Saccharomyces cerevisiae S288C: one gene and its partners. Changing the gene in region 2 together with the main gene of any one other region gives a genetic interaction. Each region holds a gene or a part of one and is shown on either strand. Other genes may lie near its edges.

Evidence for each region.
Region 1: of RSR1 (region 2) and NBA1, a mutation in one rescues a mutant of the other (synthetic rescue), as found in Saccharomyces cerevisiae (one study listed by BioGRID).
Region 3: of RSR1 (region 2) and BUD2, changing one suppresses a phenotype caused by changing the other (phenotypic suppression), as found in Saccharomyces cerevisiae (one study listed by BioGRID).
Region 4: of RSR1 (region 2) and ARF3, changing one suppresses a phenotype caused by changing the other (phenotypic suppression), as found in Saccharomyces cerevisiae (one study listed by BioGRID).

The regions. Positions count from the first base shown.
Region 1 is NC_001147.6:194,907-200,439, forward strand, and holds NBA1 (Nba1p), read right to left. Parts: upstream 3,820-5,533; coding exon 2,314-3,819; downstream 1-2,313. Other genes in the region: THP1 (Thp1p), read left to right, coding at 64-1,431; succinate dehydrogenase assembly factor SDH5, read left to right, coding at 1,601-2,089; kinetochore-associated Ndc80 complex subunit NUF2, read left to right, coding at 4,036-5,391; histone deacetylase HST1, read right to left, coding at 5,462-5,533.
Region 2 is NC_001139.9:793,104-798,083, forward strand, and holds RSR1 (Ras family GTPase RSR1), read right to left. Parts: upstream 2,390-4,980; coding exon 1,571-2,389; downstream 1-1,570. Other genes in the region: YGR153W (uncharacterized protein), read left to right, coding at 2,989-3,642; GTO1 (omega-class glutathione transferase), read right to left, coding at 3,695-4,765. UniProt on the Saccharomyces cerevisiae protein: Ras-related protein which binds GDP/GTP and possesses intrinsic GTPase activity. Involved in development of cell polarity during the cell division cycle, and essential for bud emergence.
Region 3 is NC_001143.9:264,602-271,422, forward strand, and holds BUD2 (GTPase-activating protein BUD2), read right to left. Parts: upstream 4,859-6,821; coding exon 1,544-4,858; downstream 1-1,543. Other genes in the region: MBR1 (Mbr1p), read left to right, coding at 188-1,207; YKL091C (phosphatidylinositol/phosphatidylcholine-binding protein), read right to left, coding at 5,117-6,049. UniProt on the Saccharomyces cerevisiae protein: Stimulates the GTPase activity of BUD1/RSR1. Participates in the regulation of bud-site selection.
Region 4 is NC_001147.6:500,087-504,928, reverse strand, and holds ARF3 (Arf family GTPase ARF3), read right to left. Parts: upstream 2,135-4,842; coding exon 1,583-2,134; downstream 1-1,582. Other genes in the region: ribose-5-phosphate isomerase RKI1, read left to right, coding at 601-1,377; CMR2 (Cmr2p), read left to right, coding at 2,477-4,842. UniProt on the Saccharomyces cerevisiae protein: GTP-binding protein involved in protein trafficking; may modulate vesicle budding and uncoating within the Golgi apparatus.

The DNA of each region.
Region 1 (5,533 bases), on a different chromosome or scaffold from region 2:
ACCATCTTCACATCAATGGCATTCAAAGTAAGAAACAGGGCAGGGATAAAAGGATAGATAGCAATGGACATGGCCAACCAGTTGCTAGATGAATTAGCACATGGAAATTTTTCCCACCTAACGCTAAACTTGTCCCAAAATGGTAGGGAAATTGCTATCTTACAGAAGCAATTGACCGGATTTGATGATAAACAGCTAGAAACGTTTGTAGAACAACACCCGGCTATGCCCAATGATACGAGATTCAAAATCATGTGTACATCCTTTTTAAATTATGCCCGAGATGTCGACCCATGGTCAGCCTGGTCCAGTTCGGATCTAATTTTTGAGTTTTATCAATGTTTAATCAACTGTCTCATCAACGACAATGCTCCTCACATAGAAATGTTGATACCAGTAGCAACTAGAGAAACAGAATTTATCATCAATCTCGCTGGGAAACTAGACTCTTTCCACTTGCAACTGCATACGAGAAGTCACCAATTTCTATCACATATATCGTCCATCCTATCAAGACTATTTAACAGCATCAAACCTCCACGAGGTAACGCATCTTCTACAAATATACCTGGAAAACAACGAATACTGCTCTACCTGGTCAATAAACTAAATAACATCTACTTCAGGATCGAGTCACCGCAATTATGTTCCAATATCTTTAAGAACTTTCAGCCAAAAAGCATGCTTGCACATTTCAACGAATACCAGCTCGACCAGCAAATAGAATACAGATATCTATTAGGAAGGTACTACTTGTTGAACTCTCAAGTACATAATGCCTTCGTTCAATTCAATGAAGCTTTCCAGTCCTTATTGAACTTGCCGTTAACGAACCAAGCGATCACTAGGAATGGCACCAGAATACTAAATTACATGATCCCTACAGGGCTGATACTGGGAAAGATGGTCAAATGGGGACCGTTGCGACCGTTCCTTTCCCAAGAAACAATTGATAATTGGAGTGTTCTCTACAAACACGTACGTTATGGGAATATTCAAGGCGTGAGTCTCTGGCTGAGACAAAACGAGCGTCATTTGTGTGCAAGACAGTTACTGATCGTGCTCCTAGAGAAACTGCCCATGGTAACGTACAGAAATCTGATTAAAACGGTAATAAAGTCCTGGACCACCGAATGGGGTCAGAACAAATTACCGTACTCCTTGATAGAACGGGTACTACAGCTATCTATTGGTCCGACATTCGAGGATCCCGGCGCCCAGGAAATTACCATTTATAATGGCATTCACTCCCCCAAGAACGTCGAAAACGTACTTGTGACACTGATTAACTTGGGACTTTTACGCGCAAACTGTTTCCCACAGTTACAACTGTGTGTAGTGAAAAAGACTACAATGATACAAGAGATTGTTCCGCCGGTTAATGAACGAATCACCAAGATGTTTCCTGCCCATTCTCACGTTCTTTGGTGATATGTAGATATATATAGGAAATAGAAGAGAAGGAGCGACATTATGCTGTTTCTTACAGATTTCATAAGAGACTAGATTTTAAGTATATTTAGGATATATAAGAAAGGCGAAATTTGTAAAAAAAGAACAGGAGGAAAAAAGGGAGTACACTTTAAAAAGGAGCACATAAATGCACAATATGTTTCCAGCACTCACAAAGACACTGTCGTTGCAAGGCTACAAGATTATCAACTCTCAAACAGGGTCCGCTGCATGGTCGTGCGGTCGTAGGTGGTTTAGTAGTGATAAAGATGACCACGACGATGTGGTGACGAGGATTAAAATTGCCCCCATAAAGAGAACTAACGAGCCATTGGATAAGAAAAGAGCTCGGTTGATATATCAATCACGCAAAAGAGGGATCTTGGAGACGGACTTGCTGCTATCTGGGTTCGCTGCCAAATATTTGAAGAAGATGAACGAAGAGGAACTGGAAGAATACGATTCGCTATTGAATGAGTTGGACTGGGACATATACTATTGGGCCACAAAAAATTTCAAAACCAGCCCCTTGCCTGACAAGTGGGCCAATTCTAAATTGCTGAAGCAGCTACAAGAATTCAGTGAAAATAAAGAGAAGGAAATTTTAAGTATGCCGGACTTGTCCAAGTATCAATGAATACAAGCCATTGAATTACTATCACTTTTTTTTATTTGTATATGACTTGTAAATAAACCGGAAGAGAAAGAAACTTATATATTACCACTATACTATACTATACTTATTGCTATTATTATTATTCATTATTAGTATTATAATATATTATTGATATTGATATTGATATTGTTATTGTTATTGTTACTACCACTGTTACTATTACTATTATTATTGTTGTTGCACCATCAAAACCCTTCAAGAGCCTTTGTAGCTTTGTCTAATCTTTTCAGTCCTTCTTCATAGCGGTCCGGATCAAGAACCATGTCTGCTGTTAACCTGGACAAAGAGTCTACTAGTCTCTCCAGGGCACGTTTCTCCTCAATTTTCATCCCCAGTTGCGCAAATTCAGACCCGATTAAGGTTCCCTTTGTCACACTCAACAGTTGATTTAGTGTGTCGATATCAAAGGATCGCAATTCCTTCACAGATTTTTTTTTATTGAGCTTTTTTTTCGTATCCTTCTTGAGTTTAGTTTTCTTGGGCGTTTCCTCAATGATGTCCTCGTACATGTCATCATCTTGTTTGTTTGTCGAAGTAGAGGTATGATTTGCCCTATCATGAATAGCCTTCAATGTGTCGTCACGTTTCAAATTCGATGTAACTCTGCTATCCTCATTGGGTGTGCTGGGCAATGGTCTTGTCAAGTAAGTCTCTTCCTCTGGAGGCATACTCGTTGCCGCAGAATAGTAAGATTCCGATTTTTGTTCACTAACTGTGGAAATCTGAGATGAGTTCTTATAGTGGCCACCAGGTTGGACCGGCGTTGGTAATATTTCTTCGGTTAAAAGATCCCCCTCGCCATCACCTTCTTCGATGAACAACCTTGACCTAGGACGGTCCTTACTTCTGGGCGGAATAGTTGGATTGTAGTCATTGGTTTCAGAACGTATTGGGTTTATCGCTTTGGGTGCTTCGTTGGTGGTTGTATACAACTCGGGTATGACACTGGAAACAATTGAAAGCTTATCGCTAACATTTCCTTCCTCTTCTTCTTCGAGCTGCTCTTGAATAGATTGATGGAATTTGGTATTATAAGTGGAAGATCCGCTCTCGCTGGCCAAATTACCTGATCCTATAGAGGAACGCATAACTTTTTCCTGACGTAGAGGACTAGATAACAGTTTCAGTGAGCCACGACCCTCTACTTTTTTTGAAGTGTTAGAGTTAAACCTTCCCACAGGTTTGGCATTAGTAACTGGTTTAATGACAATTTCGTCTGCATTGGTATTCGATTTTGTGCTTTGGTTATCACTTAGATGTTTTGTCAATGTCGCTTCTGAAGGCAACATGGGCAACGACGGTAACTCGTTCTTGCTCACGGGCTCTTTCAAGGAGTACAAACTATTGGAATCCTTACTTGTGCGCCGTTCTTGGGTCTGTTGCCGGTTTTTGACCACATATGATACTTCAACGCCTTCTTGAATAATTCCAGAGTAGTTGGAAATCATACTTGATCTGTTATCACCAGGTGGCAGCGAAACGTCACCAGCAGGTGATCTCAACAATCTCGATGGTGGTTTAAAGACATCACTTTGATCCGCCTTTTCCTCTGTGATCATTGTCCTGGTAGTTGTGGGAGATGGAAAGAGCCTGTCATCTTTCTCATTGTTCAGTGAATCGATCATTGCTGAAAGTCGCTGCGTATTCAGCGTAGCCCTAGATATCCCGTTTTCTTCCCTCTCTTCTGACATACTTATACACCTATCTGGTTTTGATAATGGTCTTCTTGTTAGTCGAATATATCAGCGTTCTTTCTCTTCTTGATGGTGCCAGCCATTTGATCAAAAGATCGCTTTTCCGAATCGGGACATGTAACAAACAATAACAATTAAAATAAACAATATTATGAAAAAATACTGGTAAAAAGCATGTACTGAGGAGAAAGGCTCCAGCATCCCTTGAGCAAAATGAGTAGGAATCAAGATGTGTTCCCCATTTTGGATCTACAGGAACTAGTTATATGTTTGCAAAGCTGTGATTTTGCGCTAGCCACACAGGAAAATATCTCTAGGCCCACCTCAGACTACATGGTAACCCTTTACAAACAAATCATCGAGAACTTCATGGGTATTTCTGTAGAGTCGTTGCTGAATAGTAGTAACCAAGAAACAGGGGATGGTCACTTACAGGAAGAGAACGAGAACATTTATTTGGACACGTTAAATGTTTTGGTATTGAACAAAATCTGCTTTAAGTTCTTTGAGAACATAGGTGTTCAAGATTTCAATATGACAGATTTGTACAAGCCCGAAGCCCAACGGACACAGCGCTTACTGAGTGCTGTGGTGAATTACGCTCGTTTTAGGGAGGAACGAATGTTCGACTGTAATTCTTTTATTCTTCAAATGGAATCGTTGCTGGGTCAGCTTCGCTCCAAATTCGATGATTATAACTTGATTCAGCAACAGCTAAAGCAATACGAGGACGTAGATGGGGATAATATACCTGATGAGCAAGAGCTCCAAAAGCTGGAAGAGCAAAATAAGGAGCTGGAAATTCAGTTGAAGAAATTGACCAAGATCCAAGAAACGTTATCCATAGATTATAATGACTATAAGATCTCCAAGCAGTCAATCTTTAAAGATCTGGAAGCTCTGAGTTTCCAAATAGTGGAATTAGAGTCCAATCGAGATAAACTGATCAAAATATCCAATACAGACATGGAAGAGTTATCCGAGGGAATCAAAGAGCTAAATGATCTGTTGATACAAAGGAAAAAGACGTTAGACGACTTAACCGCACAACAGAAAAACTTGCAAGATACAGTGACGACGTTCGAAACCATAATTAGTGAGCTCTATGATGTGCTGAGAATAATTTCCAGCGAGGTGCAAGAGTCTAATCGAACTGAAACGGAACTTGTGGGATTAAAGCAAAATTTAATCAACAATAAGCTGAAATTGATGAATGTATTGGAAACAGGTATTATGTATAAATTAGAAATCTTACAAGAACAGTTAGATTTGCAACTCAAGAATTTGGAAAAGCTATCGCAAGATACTAAAGAAGAGTCGCGCCTAAATGATACTAAATTGATGGATCTACAAATCAAATATGAAAATGAAATCAAACCTAAGATTGACAAAACGGACATTTTCATTCAAGAGGAACTGATCAGTGGTAAAATCAATAAATTAAATGATGAAATTAAACAATTACAAAAAGATTTCGAAGTTGAAGTTAAAGAAATTGAGATTGAATATTCTTTATTATCTGGTCATATTAATAAATACATGAATGAAATGCTCGAATATATGCAATAGCAGCGGTATACTTATTTTTACTCCCCCTTCTGTGTTTTCTTCTTTTTTTTTTTTTTTTTTTTTTTGGAATTTACTGTTGTTTCTTTCGTGGCTGTTTCTTAATCTTATACGTACCTTTATCTATTTCCGTACAGTTGTAATC
Region 2 (4,980 bases):
TGCACTATGGACTATGGCTTTGCTTTTACATTTTATGCCTCCAATTTTTCACAATCCTGTCCGACGCTCAGATATTGGTGTGGAAGTAGAGCTAACTCTCTATCTCAGAAAAAAGGTTAGAGCAAGGCAGATCTTTTGCAATAAGAATCAGTTACCATCGATCGATTTGAATTCATATTACTAGTACTTTGCAATACACTGTGTAAGAAGATGTCATAAAGATTGAGAAACGGTCATCAAACTTAATGTAAGCAGAGACACGAGGATTGATGATGAAGTAAGATAATGTGCGACAAGGAAGAAAAAATAATAGCATTATGTAGAGATATCGATTCCCTTTTGTGGGCGCTATGTTCTGGAGGAGAGTTTCTAGTATATTCCTTATCCATAATGTTATATGTGATCTTTATCAACAGTGGAATCCCAACAATAATGCAATTATTCACCCATTTTTCACAAGCAAGCAAGCATTATGAGAGAAGAACGAATGTACAGTCATTTAGATGATAAGATTGGAAGTAGGTCATGATAGTCAGGATTATGTAAAGACACTTGGTGTAACCCTGTATCGGCTGATTTATAATATCGAGAAAGATAATATAAGAAGCGCCTGAGAGTCAGTGGATCGATTATCGAAAATAGAATAGAGACGTTCACGGAGACCCACTGAATGTTTCGTATTAAAGGAGGGATGACTACTAAACCATTTTCACCGCTACTGGTGGCCATTTTGTATTCTTCCATTTACAAGAATTGCTCCCGACTTTTGTTCCATCAGTGGACGATAGACCATTGTCAAACACAGTAATTCTATTTTATTCTTGAGATGAGATGCCGCAATATGACCTGATATGAATCACCCTAAATGTCCGATCTAAACAAATAAAAGGCGTGCGAAACAGCCTCACGACGAGATATGAAGTCGAAAACATCGGCCTAATTTCTGTGCTTTTTAGAAGACTACTCAGATTTTCAATATCAATACAGTGAGTTAGATCTCAGGTTGAGAAGAAACACTTTGATTTTACTAGATAGGAAAGAAAAATGGACTAATTAATCAATCATTTTGTCATCGTTGAAACTTGATAACGCACGCTAAACGATAACGACTATGTTGGAGGGAAAACATTAACGATTACTCTTTTAAGTAATTGCGAAGTATATCTGAGACTAAAGACCCTCTGAATTAATTATATCAATCAACATAAACTATAAGAAACTACAGTGTGAGCTTTAGTTACGAGAGTGTGGATCTGTTCATTTAATATTTTTTATACGTAACGCAGCATCTACCGTAAAATCCCATAGATTGCGGGCACATGGCGCAGTTGGTAGCGCGCTTCCCTTGCAAGGAAGAGGTCATCGGTTCGATTCCGGTTGCGTCCATATTTTTAACATTTCATTTTTTTTGGGTTTAAATTTATTTTCAAACATTATTAATTGATTTCTTTAAAAACTTATACAACGTATGCTAATACTTTAAACTAAACCTTTTAGAACTATAATAAAACTATTTCAAGTAAAGTCTTTTTATCTGATATCTTGATTCATTTATAATAAAATTAAGTGACTATAGAATAGTGCAAGTGGAAGCGTTTTTCTTCTTTTTCTTTTGTTGTGAAGTAGCGCTAATTCCTGTCCTGTTGCTAGAACCAGATTTCGGAACGGCATGTGACGGTTTGTGCTTTTCATTAACCGGAGTAGATTGTTTAACTTTAGCTTGTCCTTGTGAAGATTTGTTATATAAACCTTTTGATGATTGCTTATTGTTTGATTGTTTCGTATCCTGTTTCGCAGAACTAGGGAGCCTGGTTGATGGAGACTCGATTTTGCTAAATTGTTGACTTTGATTTCTTGCGTCTTTAACTGCAACACTTTCCATTTCATTCCGAATGATTTGCCTAACTAAATCAACGAACACTTCATCCACATTGCTCCTCAACAAAGCGCTTGTTTCATAAAAGGGAACTCTACCCCATTTACTGCTTACCTCTATACCTTCTTCCACACTTATTACCCTTTCATTGATTAGATCAGCCTTGTTACCTATTAGAACCATTGGAACGCGATCGGAATCTTTGATCCTAAGGACCTGTTCTCTTAGCTCCATTAATTCTTCCAAAGATTGCCGATCTGTTACTGAATATACCAACAGGAACCCCATTCCTGACTTTATGTATAATTCTCTCATTGCAGTAAATTGTGCTATACCCGCTGTATCTAAAATTTCCAGGTCGAATACCTTGTTATCGATCTCGATGGTTTTCCTGTAAGAATCTTCGATCGTTGGATCATACGTATCCAAATAAACTCCCTGTACAAACTGCACGGTTAAGCAGGATTTACCGACACCACCAGCACCCAATACTACTAATTTATAGTCTCTCATTAGTCCTAATGTTTCCTAGCCAAATATTTCTAAGCGATGATAGAAGCCAAAATATTAGAACGTTGTATGTAAATGTTCTATATCGTTACTAAATAATAGTATTATTGTTCAGTGGAGAGGATGAAATTTCAAAAACTTCTTGGCGTAGTTAAGAACGAACGCAATGGTTCTTTTTTTCGAGATCGAGCTCTACTTTACTTTTTTCTTTTTCTGTCCTTCTCTCTTTTCTTTTTAACCTTTTTCGACGATATTTCGCGTTTGAGAATGTCGAGGATGAATGCGCTTTGACGCGAATTAGTTGTGAGGCTGACGTTGTGATAAAAAGGCGATGATTCTTGGGAATATACAGTCTGTTTCCACTTGCTAGATAAAATGTATGATATTCCAAAAATGCCTTTCTCTATTGAACTGTATGACTGAGATACGCCTGCTTTTACCTTGTATATTATGAGTACTATTCGCCTTTTCCCATAAAGTTGTTTTTTTCTGGGGTTTATGTGTATCGTAAATGGTACAAAATAATAAAATTCTTATCTTGAAAATACTGTTTAATACTTTTCATCATTACTAAATAGGTTACGAAAAGAGGTCTTTGAGAAATGGGAAAGGCCTGTTTGAATAAAGAAGTCGGCACTTACGAATGTGAGGGGGAAAGAGATACCTACTCATTTTTTACCTCTCTCTCAGATATACAGGATTCAAGTAGTAACGAGGAACAATGCGGTGTAGGAAGTATATTGAGTGAAGATAGTTTCACGTTTGAAGGGTCCAACGTGAGCATACGGTTATTTTCCTTGGACTTAAATGCCTTGAATGAAAATGAGAATGGATCCAAGAATCCTGTGAAATTTACCATTCCGCCAAAAATAGAACAAAGAAAGGAAGCAAGACAAAGAGAGAAACGTTTAAGGAGGGTGGCAGTACTACCTGAGAATTCGAGAAACTACCTTGTTGAATCAAGTATGGATTCAAGTAGGGAATACAGTCAACCATTTTTTGACTGGAGGCATGAAATGGTAGAACATGGAGAGGAGAGTGTAAAACCGTGTGGTTGTCATAAATCGAGAAAAGCAAAATGCTTCAAAGAACTGGAGATGGAGAATATAGAAAAGGGCGATATAAAGAAGAGTCTCTTTTACAGAGACATAATTGAATGGTGCAGAGACTATGAAGTCAATAAAACTAGGGAAGTCTGTGTTCCGTCTATACACGAGTTTTACCTACATGGAAATGGAAGTGACAACCTCTTTTGAAGTATAGCCATGCATATAAATATATGTGTGTGTAAGAAAATATTAGAAGTTTTCATAATCTAGAAATGTCAGGCTTTGGGCCTAATGGCACTATACCAAACTGATTGATCTTGTTCCTACTTACTTCCATCCTGATGTAAAAGAGCTTAATATGATTAAAATCTGTAGTAAATCTAAACTCTGCGTAATTCCAGTATAGATTAATCAACCACAAATGAAGGTACGGGAAACCATCCCTTATAGTTTTCAAATTGCATTTGAAGTGCTGCACGTACACGACGTCAAATCTAATTATTGATGGATACAATCTGATATCCGCTTCAGTTAACCTCTGTCCTAAAACAAAATATTTAGCCAAGATTTTCTGTTTGTTACCACTGAATTGCTCCTCTAAGCGCTTATAATTTTCTTTTAGTACACATTCCATCTTCTGCAAGTTTTCAAACAGTGTTTTTACTTCAGTTTCGTAAATCTTTCCGTTTTCTGCTAATCCGACTTTATAGACACCAAGATTAATCTTCGGATGAACCCATTTGATGTTCTTATCAATCTCGTCTATTAAATCATGCGGAACTAGATCAATCACGTTCGTTTCTTCGCTTTGGATAAATTCATCAAACACGCCACTGTTCAAAATTCTTATGATATCGCCACTCTCATTGTTAACAATTTTCCTTGTTTTAGAATCCCACAGAACAGGCACAGTGAACTTTGTACCGGGGTACTTAGGATCATTTAAGTAGTACAACTCGCTTAACCTTGATATATTTTCCACCGGGTCGAAAGCGCCATCCACGAACAACCTTGCAGAGTCATTGTTCACATCACCTAACTCCTCAGATTCGTCTAATTTAGCTGAAGCAATGCCACCAGTGGCAGTAAAGAATCTCTCTTTATATTTTTCCGGCCGGTGTGGAGCAGGTAAGAAACGGGCACCCTTGGAGTCTAATTGCCAGTGAGATAACACAAGCCCTAGAACAGGTTCTAATTTCTTCAAAGACCTGGCAAGAATGGCTCTATGAGTGAATGGACACCCAAGGGCCCCGTAAATATAATACCTTCCTTTTTCTGGTTTAAAAACAGAATGTGTCTTAGAAATTGTTCCCTTGTAAGATACTGACATGGCTTACTGTTTATGATTATTTTTACGAGTATTTTCCTCTATAAGTGGCCATCTCTCCAATTGGCAAAGTCAAGACTTTTGTTATGTCAATATGTGCTACCAAAAATCAAGGGTATTTTCCCACCAGAGCTTATCAATGGCAACTGTGAGATATGAACAGCAGTTAGTAAGGGTGTGTTCTCATCCGACCCTCTGATTCATTTGGTGGCCATTAC
Region 3 (6,821 bases), on a different chromosome or scaffold from region 2:
ATGAAAATGTATTATTGGTGCGAATGGCGCTAAATACAGAGGTTTTTTTTTCTCCATTCCACCCTTAGAAGTTTCTTGTTCAATTCTCATTTTAACTGTTGCGTTTGTTATCGATTAATGTGTTCTGAACTCGAGTAAAAGAACAGGTGTGTGTGCTAAGTAAGAAGAATTATTACATTTACCCAACATGAGGATGGAAAAAACAACAGACAAACCACTTTCTGCAGGAGATATGAACGATGAATATTCTCGGGGTCCAATCGACGATATAGACTGTTTGAACTTTTTCGAAAGGGCTGTTCAGGACCCATGTTGTGAGGCCTGTGACACAGAAGATGCAGATGAAGAACTGAGAGCAAAGCTTAGTAGCTTCAATTTTCAGCCTGATTCATCTCCGTGTAATGCTAAATGTCAACAGACACTGAATCCACTGTGTAAAATAGATGAAGCACTCCCAGCGGAGTCAGAATTAGCTCCATCGAGAAACGGCTCAGTATCTGAGGCAAATTCTGATACAAATTCCATAGCTTCTACTGTCCATGACCCTGTCGACTCCAAATATGGAGGCATGCCTAGCTTGAGAAAGGCCAAAACAACGTCGTACTTTACTTCATCTTCATCGAACAATACCACAATGAGGAACCCGCTAAAAAAATGTAATACCAATATAAATGGCCTTTTAGTGAACGGAAGGAGCTCAAGCTCCTCCAGACAGTCTATACCAGAGCTCTTTAGCGGTGCGTGTACTAAAAAGAAAAACAACGTATTACTGAAAAGTGAAACACCCAATTCAGAATTCTCTAGTAACTCACTTCAACATTGCAACTCAAGGTCGTTTTCTCTACCCAGGTCAAGATCAAGGTCTTCTGCCATTGCCATACCAACACATTTGTATGGCTTGGAAAAGTACGTTTCACCTGGGTTGGATACTTTGACTGCTGACCCAGAAGAAAGTATTGAAAGGTTTTCAAATAATCGGCCCCGTGAAATATCATCGTGTTGTCCGAACGATACAGGGGACACCTCCTCATCATTATCACATTCGAACACTTCCTCATCACTAAATTTCCCTTTAGGTACAAATACAAATCAATTCCACCAACCAAGGCAGCCAGTACAACAGCAACAGTCTTCGAAACCAAACTTTGGTGCTGGGAGGAAAAAATCTTTCATTGAGATGTCACTAGCAAGTTCCTTTGCAGGCTAACATTCTCGCCACCTTGGAATAACCGTATGATGTTCAACTTTGTTATTTATTTCCACATTCTGGATCGCCATCTGTTCGTTTTTATTAAATATAATATATACCCATTTGTATCTCCTGTTTGGTTTCCAAATTTCCATATACTTATCGCTGTCTATCATCTCCTCTCGAAGCATTTTTTTATATACTATATTATGAGAAATCTTTCTGAAAAATTATGAATTACTTTTTTCTGCTGATAGTACAACCCGCTATATACTGTTACAAGTAGTGAATAAAGAAGTAAAAAAAAAAAAACTTTCAAAGGAAAGAATATGAAGTGAACATTTTTTTCTACGATTAAGATCCCCCTGTTTCTTTTTTCTTTTTGAACCATCTTGTCAGCTTACGGGAATTTTGTTCTTTAGGAACATCTGCGTTAGGAGGTTTCCTCATTATCCTAGATAACTTTGTCGGGGAAAATCTATTCCCCAAGTTACCTTTACCTTGCGAGTTTGGAAGCGTCAAGTAATCATCCTTGGCTCCATTTTCCGATGATGTTCCATGTACCGATGTTTTGTTGCTACTCTTGGGATTCTCATCACTTACATCAATAGTCAAAAATTTACAGTAACTATCTCCAACTGTGTTATTGGATTTACTAGAGACACCTTTTGTGAAGAATTTCTGCAATCTTGCGGAAGAGTTTTCATTTGTTGGTTTATTTAGTAGTTTAAGAACAATTTCTTTTCCCTCCTTTATTTCTTCATAAAAAATTTTATGTGAGAGTGAAATGGAGTATTTTTTGTCTTCAAACAAAGTGCTGGAAGCACATTCATAACCTGACAACCGTTTTCTAATATGATTAATCCTATTATAGAGTAAACATGACTCTTGCTCCAATTCTTTCATTGCATGCTTTTCCTCTTCTGCTTTCGGGATTATAGAATTAAATTTGATGCCTGAATTAGCGCCATTATCCAAATCTCTGCTTCTGGAACCTACATCATCGCTTTTCAGTAGGTTCATTAAATCATCTCCGAAGATCTCCGTGTTGTTTTCAGTTATTTTCTCAAATTCTAACTCTCCAATTTCTGGCTTAACCTCAATTGGTGAATCCAAATCTTTTTTATCCACAGACAAATTTAGGCTGCTACCGCTTAACAGGCCCTCCTCTTCGATTAATTCTCCCTTCCCACCATTATCCATGTGATTGTATTTTTCCATCTTGGTCATATCTTCCTGACTGAAATTAACAATCAAGTTAACAAACTCAGTTTCTCTCAAATTCTTATCAAGCAGATAAGGAATCTGAGGCAAATCATCCAACATCGTTTGTTCAATGGCCAATTTGGGTCTCGAAATAGTAGAACTTAGGTTCAATATCTTTGAATTAAAATCTAGTTTCTTTTGCGTCATTTTATCAATGTAATCTAATAAGTCATTGTGTCTTTTATCGATAAAGTTATTCATCTTCATTAGCCAGGGCTCTTTGTTTGCAAACTGCGTCAAAGTGGACAGATTAAGTAAAACTTTACTTATTAGGGTAAGATTCCTTCTTGCTGTTTCGTTTAAATTTTGAGAAACATATTTGAATAGCTTAGGGTTTAATATGACTGGACAAAAAAACCTTAAAAACAATAATCCTGATATACCATTCAAAATTATTTGCAAAGTGTCATCGATACAAATTATCTCTAGTTTTTGCCTAAAGATTTTTAAAACATTTCTTATTTCAATCGGCAGGTCATTACTCGTTGCATACAGCCTTTTCCAAATCTTCGTAACCCAAGAATACAATCGTTTGTAGTTGTCGGCAATTATTTTCCTCTTTTTTACTTCATCTTTTTCTTTTACTCTAGCAGGATCCAATTCACATGATTTGTTTGACTCAATGATCTCTTTTAGTATTGCACTAAGCGCTTTACTCAAATATTCATTACCCACTCTGAAAAAGTACTGTTCAATCGACTTTGTTAAGATAGAGTTACCACGGAATAAACTGTTGAAAACATGCTTTGAGTCTAAATTTTTCTGGTTTATTCTTGAAACCGTTCCATCAATTTTAGCCAATTCTTTGTCTATAAGGACGTGGAACCATTCTTCTATTCTTGACAAAGATTGGAATATATCGAGAAAAATTATGGATGTTTGCGTCAATTTGTTATCATTCTCCATTGATGAAGAAGATTTGTAAATTAGATTGGAAACCATGGACAAGTTTGCGTTCATCAAAAGTTTTTCCAATTTAACGAAATTGGTTGACGGTAAAATGAAGTTCAAATTTGAAGAAATTTTAATACAGATTGTTCCTATTTGAAAATTTTTGTTATCAACGTCCATGATGGGTAGTCTTGTTTCCTTATTATATCTTGTATCATTTATTATTTCTTGTGTGATTTTTATTTTGCCTATCAATCGTAACCGTTTTTTATTATTGAGATCGTGGAATAACTGCTTGATTTCCAGATAAGAATTAGTAAGTCTTAAAAGTTCATTGAACTGAAACTCTTCTCTCCAAAATGGATTAGAGGAGTTTGAAACCATGGATGTTCTAGCCCATGTATGGCCCCAGGCCGTTATGTCTGTGAATATTGACCATGGCGTATTATTCTTGTCATTTAAATTGATTGACTGAAAATTAGCTTCCAGTATGGAAATTTTAAAGCTATTCGATATCTTCATATCATTTGATTTATCTGAGCCAGTAATAGATAAGTATTCCGACCTAGCGAACGATTGTAACGCTATAAAACAATCCTCCAGGTCTATTCTTAAGGGAAACTCTACAATAATTTCTTGAGAAATATCACTAGAGTTGGTGGCAGCACTGGCAATATTTTCTATGCGAAACTTTTCGAGGCCCAACTGGCTCCTTAGTAATGGCAATTCACCTAAAAACAAACTGTTTTCACTTTGTAAAACAGATGAATCCAGAATTCTTATCTCTGATCTTAAAAGCTGGCTAATATTCAATGAGTAAATCAGAGAGCCGTCACTCTGTAAAAGAAGATCTAGCATGCCGTTTGATTTAAGCACCCCCATAGCGGAAAACCAACCTACGCTGTTGTCATCATTATTAATTATATCAGGGCTTTCTAAAATATTTGTTGCTGGCGGAAGGACGATGTTCTTAACGATGGGCCCAAAAACATTCAATTTGTAAACCAGCAAACTTTCTGGTTTCGCCATTTTTTTGCTTTTAAATTCTAGAGGTCGCGATACTTGAAACTTATTAAATATACCATTTGTCTTCATTGAGCTCCACCAGATCAGACATGTTAGCAATTTCTTGAAATCACTCCAACTTTTAACTCGCAGGTAAACTTTATTATCTTTACCTGAGGTGTTTACTTGGATTATAAAATTACAATTTGCATTAATATCCTTAAAAGAGGAATGCTTATCCTTAATAATCTCGATTCTACATTGCTGTAGATGTTTGATAATTGGCTGAATATTAGTAGAGTCTGCTGTTAACTCATCGATTGAGTGGGTTAGTGCACCTGTACTGGTAATTTGCAGATAGTGTGTCTTCCAGTCGTTTAAGGACAGGTTATTACACCACTGAATCTCACCCTTAAAGGTATTCTTGTAATGCTTAACGTTGGACAAAAATTCATTCAATTTGAAATATGATGTTCGACTTTGGGCCGGTTCATTGTTGGAGCTCATAATATGATACAATCAAAGATAAACACCACGACGTATGCACGGATAAAGTTTTCAGTCTGACCGAGTAGTTATTCCTACTATTTTGTTGTTTCTTCCTCCGTTTTCATAAATGGCGTTTGTTTGGATACCTTTCTTTTTTATCGAACAGAACGCGTTCAAGAATGAAAGTCATTAATTATTATTAGATACAGAGATATACATATTATAGAGTATGCATGCTATATTCACGGAAAGCTACGACGAAGGCCTGTATCATAGTTAGCTGGTAACAGTAAATTTACCAAAAATGTTGGGAATTTCACCTTCTGGTCCGATGTATCTAGGGTCTCTCCAGGGACCAATATCGGAATAGTAGAACTTATCATTAGGGTTGTGCAAGACAGATGTACCACCATATTTAACAGGCAAGTTCTCGATTGGAATTTGTTTTAATAATTCCTTTTTATAAGAAGAGCCAAGAATAAAGATTTTTGACACGGTTACTGGATCCAAGAAGGGTTTAACCATCTTGAACATCGTCGAGAAACCAAATGGACTGTGTATAATATAAAACTTACCCATTCTTTCAGGATAATAATTTTGACTGATATCTGCAACATCTTTAATATAGGAAAGCACATGATAAGCATTAGAAAGTGAGATACCCTTCAAGTCCAGCACAGTGCACGAAGTTTCAATAAGGTAGCCAGCTCTTCTCGAACACGCTGGGACCCGGTACGTGGCAAATAATTCGTACTCCTTGACTAAGTTTCTTAGCATCTGTTTTTCGGTAGTGATCTTGTACATTTTCTTTAAGTTAATTCCTCCTAGTTCTTCGAAGTACAATGGTCTCCCATCCTTATCAACGTGATGGTAATACTGAGGGTACATTTTGGCCAATTTGATTCTTTCTTTGTCTTCGGCTTCCTTGTTGTTTTCATAATCCTCGATAATAGTGTTGGCACCGTATTCTTCCCTCCATCGTTCAGTTTCTACAAACATCTCAACGCTAGCATTGATATCAAATTTCCTTGCCCGTAGAAATCGCAATAGCGTAGAATCATCCAGCCTTTCTTTGTAATTCTTTTCTAACAAGATTGACCTAAATTGCAAAAGCGCTTCCTCTTGCTCCTTAGTCAAATTGCCGGGAGTACCTGGCAAAGCATTGGGGGAGCATATTTGAGGATAAGTATCGAGTATGCTGGTTGTCATTCTTCCTTTCCAGTTTTAACAGTGCGCAAATGTATTGCTTTTCAGATTTATTTCCCCGTTATACAAGTTCAAGGAAATGTTTGAGTAGAGAGAATCACGATCTAAATAATAATCCGAAGAATTTAAAAAGGAGTAAATAGGGGCATACAAGAGGGGGAATTTCAGAAGTGCCTGTTATGTAAAAAAGATATGATAACACATAATGGATTGCATACCAGTAAATTTCCATATGTACTATGCCGACCTCTTTTCATGTAAACGCCTTGCAAATTCATACTTAATGATTACAAGAAAGTAATATGTAAATTTTAAGCTCAGGTTCAAGGTTTATAAGGGCCTTCGTCTCTGATAGAAGAATCAAGTTGGTAAATCCAAATGGAAGTACGGGTCCCAATAGCAGGTTTGATTTTTGAAGGTGACTCGAGATATATCAGCTGCCGCCCCTGAATCAGCAGTAATTATAACTGAAGAGAACGGACAATGTTTTACGTATAATTAAGGCACATAAATTCCATCTGGAGTGTTCTGAAGTCGCTTACTTGGTGAGATATTGAGGTGTCATCAGATAGGACAATAGTAGGAGAAAGGACCATCTGGAGGTTAATCACCTGTTGTCTTACTATCCGGTCCTCAGGGTCCATAAAAAAATACTTTCAACAAAATCTGGATGCATTGAAAAGGTTGTTTTCAAACAGTCTGCAGTTTGTAATTCACCCACATGCCTTTTTTTGTATTCATATTAGCTTTTCTTGCATAATTAGGGACATATAAA
Region 4 (4,842 bases), on a different chromosome or scaffold from region 2:
ACTTCTAGCAAAGTTATAGTATTGCGGAAAGATTACCCACCTGATATGCGTTAATTAGTCATGTTCAAATTTCAGAAAGCCTTTTTCTATAAAAGATTATACAATGACATCCGGTAAGTCCGCCACACTATAGCTATTTTACGAGAAACCTTGGATGCTGCCAAATGTGGTATATCAACCAGCGTTGGTATAAGTCTCGTAAGTGAATTAATTGAGTTTAGTACTTGTTATAATGATGTACTAGCTTCATACCCCCTCTTTTTTTCGGGCTAATGGGAGTAATGGCATGGCCCAGATTGCTTGTGGCCGAGGCAGTGAAAAGTCGCGATGAGTTGAAAAATTTTTTTGCGATGAGGGAAAAGCGATTAACTCGGTGAAATTTCATCTGGTTCGTAATTGGGTGTCAGTTTACGTACGCTTTGGATAATATAATATATGTACGGCTTGCGTTGCAGTGTGAAACTGTTTCAATTTATTACATGCAATTTATTCTCTTTGTACTGGGACGTTCTTTTCTCTTGTAGAAAATTAACAACATCGTGTTACATAAACTTGGTTACCGCATACTGCAACCTCATATAAATACAACATAGGAAAGAAATGGCTGCCGGTGTCCCAAAAATTGATGCGTTAGAATCTTTGGGCAATCCTTTGGAGGATGCCAAGAGAGCTGCAGCATACAGAGCAGTTGATGAAAATTTAAAATTTGATGATCACAAAATTATTGGAATTGGTAGTGGTAGCACAGTGGTTTATGTTGCCGAAAGAATTGGACAATATTTGCATGACCCTAAATTTTATGAAGTAGCGTCTAAATTCATTTGCATTCCAACAGGATTCCAATCAAGAAACTTGATTTTGGATAACAAGTTGCAATTAGGCTCCATTGAACAGTATCCTCGCATTGATATAGCGTTTGACGGTGCTGATGAAGTGGATGAGAATTTACAATTAATTAAAGGTGGTGGTGCTTGTCTATTTCAAGAAAAATTGGTTAGTACTAGTGCTAAAACCTTCATTGTCGTTGCTGATTCAAGAAAAAAGTCACCAAAACATTTAGGTAAGAACTGGAGGCAAGGTGTTCCCATTGAAATTGTACCTTCCTCATACGTGAGGGTCAAGAATGATCTATTAGAACAATTGCATGCTGAAAAAGTTGACATCAGACAAGGAGGTTCTGCTAAAGCAGGTCCTGTTGTAACTGACAATAATAACTTCATTATCGATGCGGATTTCGGTGAAATTTCCGATCCAAGAAAATTGCATAGAGAAATCAAACTGTTAGTGGGCGTGGTGGAAACAGGTTTATTCATCGACAACGCTTCAAAAGCCTACTTCGGTAATTCTGACGGTAGTGTTGAAGTTACCGAAAAGTGAGCAGATCAAAGGCAAAGACAGAAACCGTAGTAAAGGTTGACTTTTCACAACAGTGTCTCCATTTTTTATATTGTATTATTAAAGCTATTTAGTTATTTGGATACTGTTTTTTTTCCAGAAGTTTTCTTTTTAGTAAAGTACAATCCAGTAAAAATGAAGGATGAACAATCGGTGTATGCAGATTCAACACCAATAAATGCAATGTTTATTTCTTTGGAACGTTTGTGTTGTTCGAAATCCAGGATAATCCTTCAACAAGACCCTGTCCGGATAAGGCGTTACTACCGATGACACACCAAGGTTGGTTTTTCAAATTTTTCTCCAGTTCTAAAAAATCGGAAACCTCTTGAGGTTTCATTGCATCTTTCAAATCTTGTTTGTTTGCCCATACCAGCAGTACTACATTCTCCATCTCTTTCTCACCTATGATACTATATAACTCTTCTTTGGCCTCTTCCATACGGTTTCTAGCACTAGAATCTATCACAAAGATAAGTGCGGTGGTGGCTGGAAAATAATGTCTCCAGAGAGGTCTCAATCTTTGTTGTCCTCCTACATCCCACATGTTGAATTTTACGTTTTTATAAGTAACGGTTTCCACGTTAAAACCGACAGTGGGAGTAGACGTCTTTATTTTATTTAATTTTAGTTTGTACAATATTGTTGTCTTACCAGCCTTATCCAGGCCTAGCATCAAAATTTTCATTTCTTTCGAGCCAAATAGTTTTCCCAGAACCTTCGAAATTGAATTGCCCATCTCTACAATTAGCTTGTCTTTTCCTTTTTTCCGTTCTAAATCCCAATTATCTTCCCAATGTCAAAGCAACTGTAATGTCTCAGTCTAATTCAGCGTACGTTGCGTCTTACTATGCTTCTGCAAATAGGGTTTTAATGCTGCGTACATCTTCATTATCTTATAAGTGCCATCATTCGGACGGGTAATGGATGAAATCGTCAAAACCCGATTACTTTCTAGTATGTTTTATTTCTGTTTATAATGTAGTCAAAAGAGCTTCAACAGATTTAACATTTGCTTCCGTAAACTTGGTGTTAGGGTGATTCAGTTCTGTGTAAAAGCGTGTGGCATTGAGTTACTCCAATGGATTTTTCTATTCCTCCTACCTTACCTCTAGATCTGCAAAGTCGGTTAAATGAGTTAATTCAAGACTATAAGGATGAAAATCTAACAAGAAAGGGTTATGAGACCAAAAGAAAACAATTGCTAGACAAATTTGAAATCTCCCAAATGAGGCCTTATACCCCGCTTCGATCTCCCAATTCGAGAAAGTCGAAACATTTGCACAGAAGAAATACAAGTCTTGCATCATCCATTACGTCGTTACCTAATTCAATTGACAGACGTCATTCTATCTATCGTGTCACAACTATAAACTCGACTTCTGCGAACAATACTCCCAGAAGGCGGAGCAAGAGATATACAGCTTCTTTGCAATCGTCATTGCCAGGTTCCAGTGATGAAAACGGTTCAGTGAAGGATGCCGTTTATAATCCTATGATACCATTACTACCAAGACACACTGGAGCCGAAAATACTAGCAGTGGAGACTCAGCAATGACGGATTCTTTACCGCTAATTTTACGGGGACGCTTTGAACATTATGATGGTCAAACAGCGATGATCAGCATAAATTCTAAAGGCAAAGAAACGTTCATCACATGGGATAAACTTTATTTGAAAGCGGAGAGGGTAGCACATGAATTGAATAAGAGTCACCTTTACAAAATGGATAAGATTTTACTATGGTACAATAAAAATGATGTCATCGAATTTACTATTGCATTATTAGGCTGTTTCATATCCGGCATGGCAGCTGTACCAGTCTCATTCGAAACGTATTCTCTGCGTGAGATCCTTGAGATAATTAAAGTAACAAATTCGAAATTTGTTCTGATTTCTAACGCATGTCATAGACAATTAGATAACTTGTATTCGTCATCAAATCATTCAAAAGTTAAACTGGTTAAGAACGATGTTTTCCAGCAAATCAAATTTGTCAAGACTGATGACTTAGGGACGTACACAAAGGCAAAAAAAACTTCGCCTACCTTTGATATACCGAATATTTCATATATAGAGTTTACTAGAACACCGCTAGGTCGTCTTTCTGGCGTCGTCATGAAGCATAACATCTTAATAAACCAATTTGAAACGATGACAAAAATTCTAAACTCACGATCAATGCCTCACTGGAAACAAAAATCACAAAGCATCAGGAAGCCATTTCACAAAAAAATTATGGCAACCAACTCAAGGTTTGTTATCTTGAATAGTCTGGACCCTACTAGATCTACTGGTTTGATAATGGGTGTGCTTTTCAATCTTTTTACTGGTAATCTTATGATATCTATCGATAGTAGTATATTACAACGACCTGGGGGCTATGAAAATATCATTGATAAATTTAGAGCCGACATTTTACTGAATGATCAGCTACAATTGAAGCAGGTAGTTATTAATTATTTGGAAAATCCCGAATCAGCTTTTTCCAAGAAGCACAAAATAGATTTCAGTTGCATCAAGTCATGTTTAACCTCATGTACCACTATAGATACCGATGTAAGCGAGATGGTTGTTCATAAATGGCTGAAAAATTTAGGATGTATTGATGCACCATTTTGTTATTCTCCCATGTTAACGTTATTGGACTTTGGTGGTATCTTTATATCTATAAGAGATCAATTAGGAAACCTAGAGAACTTTCCAATACATAATTCAAAACTAAGGCTTCAAAATGAATTGTTTATAAACCGCGAGAAATTGAAGCTTAATGAGGTTGAATGTAGCATAACTGCTATGATTAATTCATCAAGCTCCTTCAAAGATTATCTTAAATTAGAAACATTTGGCTTCCCAATTCCTGATATCACTTTATGTGTGGTTAATCCAGATACGAATACGTTGGTGCAAGACCTCACTGTTGGAGAAATATGGATCTCTTCTAACCACATCACCGACGAATTTTACCAGATGGATAAAGTGAACGAATTTGTGTTCAAAGCAAAACTAAATTACTCCGAAATGTTTTCTTGGGCAAAGTATGAAATGCCTACTAACGAAAAATCGCAAGCAGTTACTGAACAATTGGATACCATTCTGAATATTTGTCCTGCAAATACCTACTTTATGAGAACCAAGCTTATGGGGTTTGTTCATAACGGAAAGATATACGTGCTTTCACTCATAGAAGATATGTTTTTACAGAATAGATTAATCAGATTACCTAACTGGGCTCACACATCAAACCTTCTTTATGCCAAAAAAGGGAATCAATCTGCTCAACCTAAAGGTAACACTGGAGCAGAAAGCACTAAGGCTATTGATATTTCGAGTTTAAGTGGCGAAACATCTTCGGGATACAAAAGAGTTGTTGAATCCCACTATCTACAACAGATTACTGAAACAGTTGTGAGGACAGTAAATACAGTTTTTGAGGTTGCTGCATT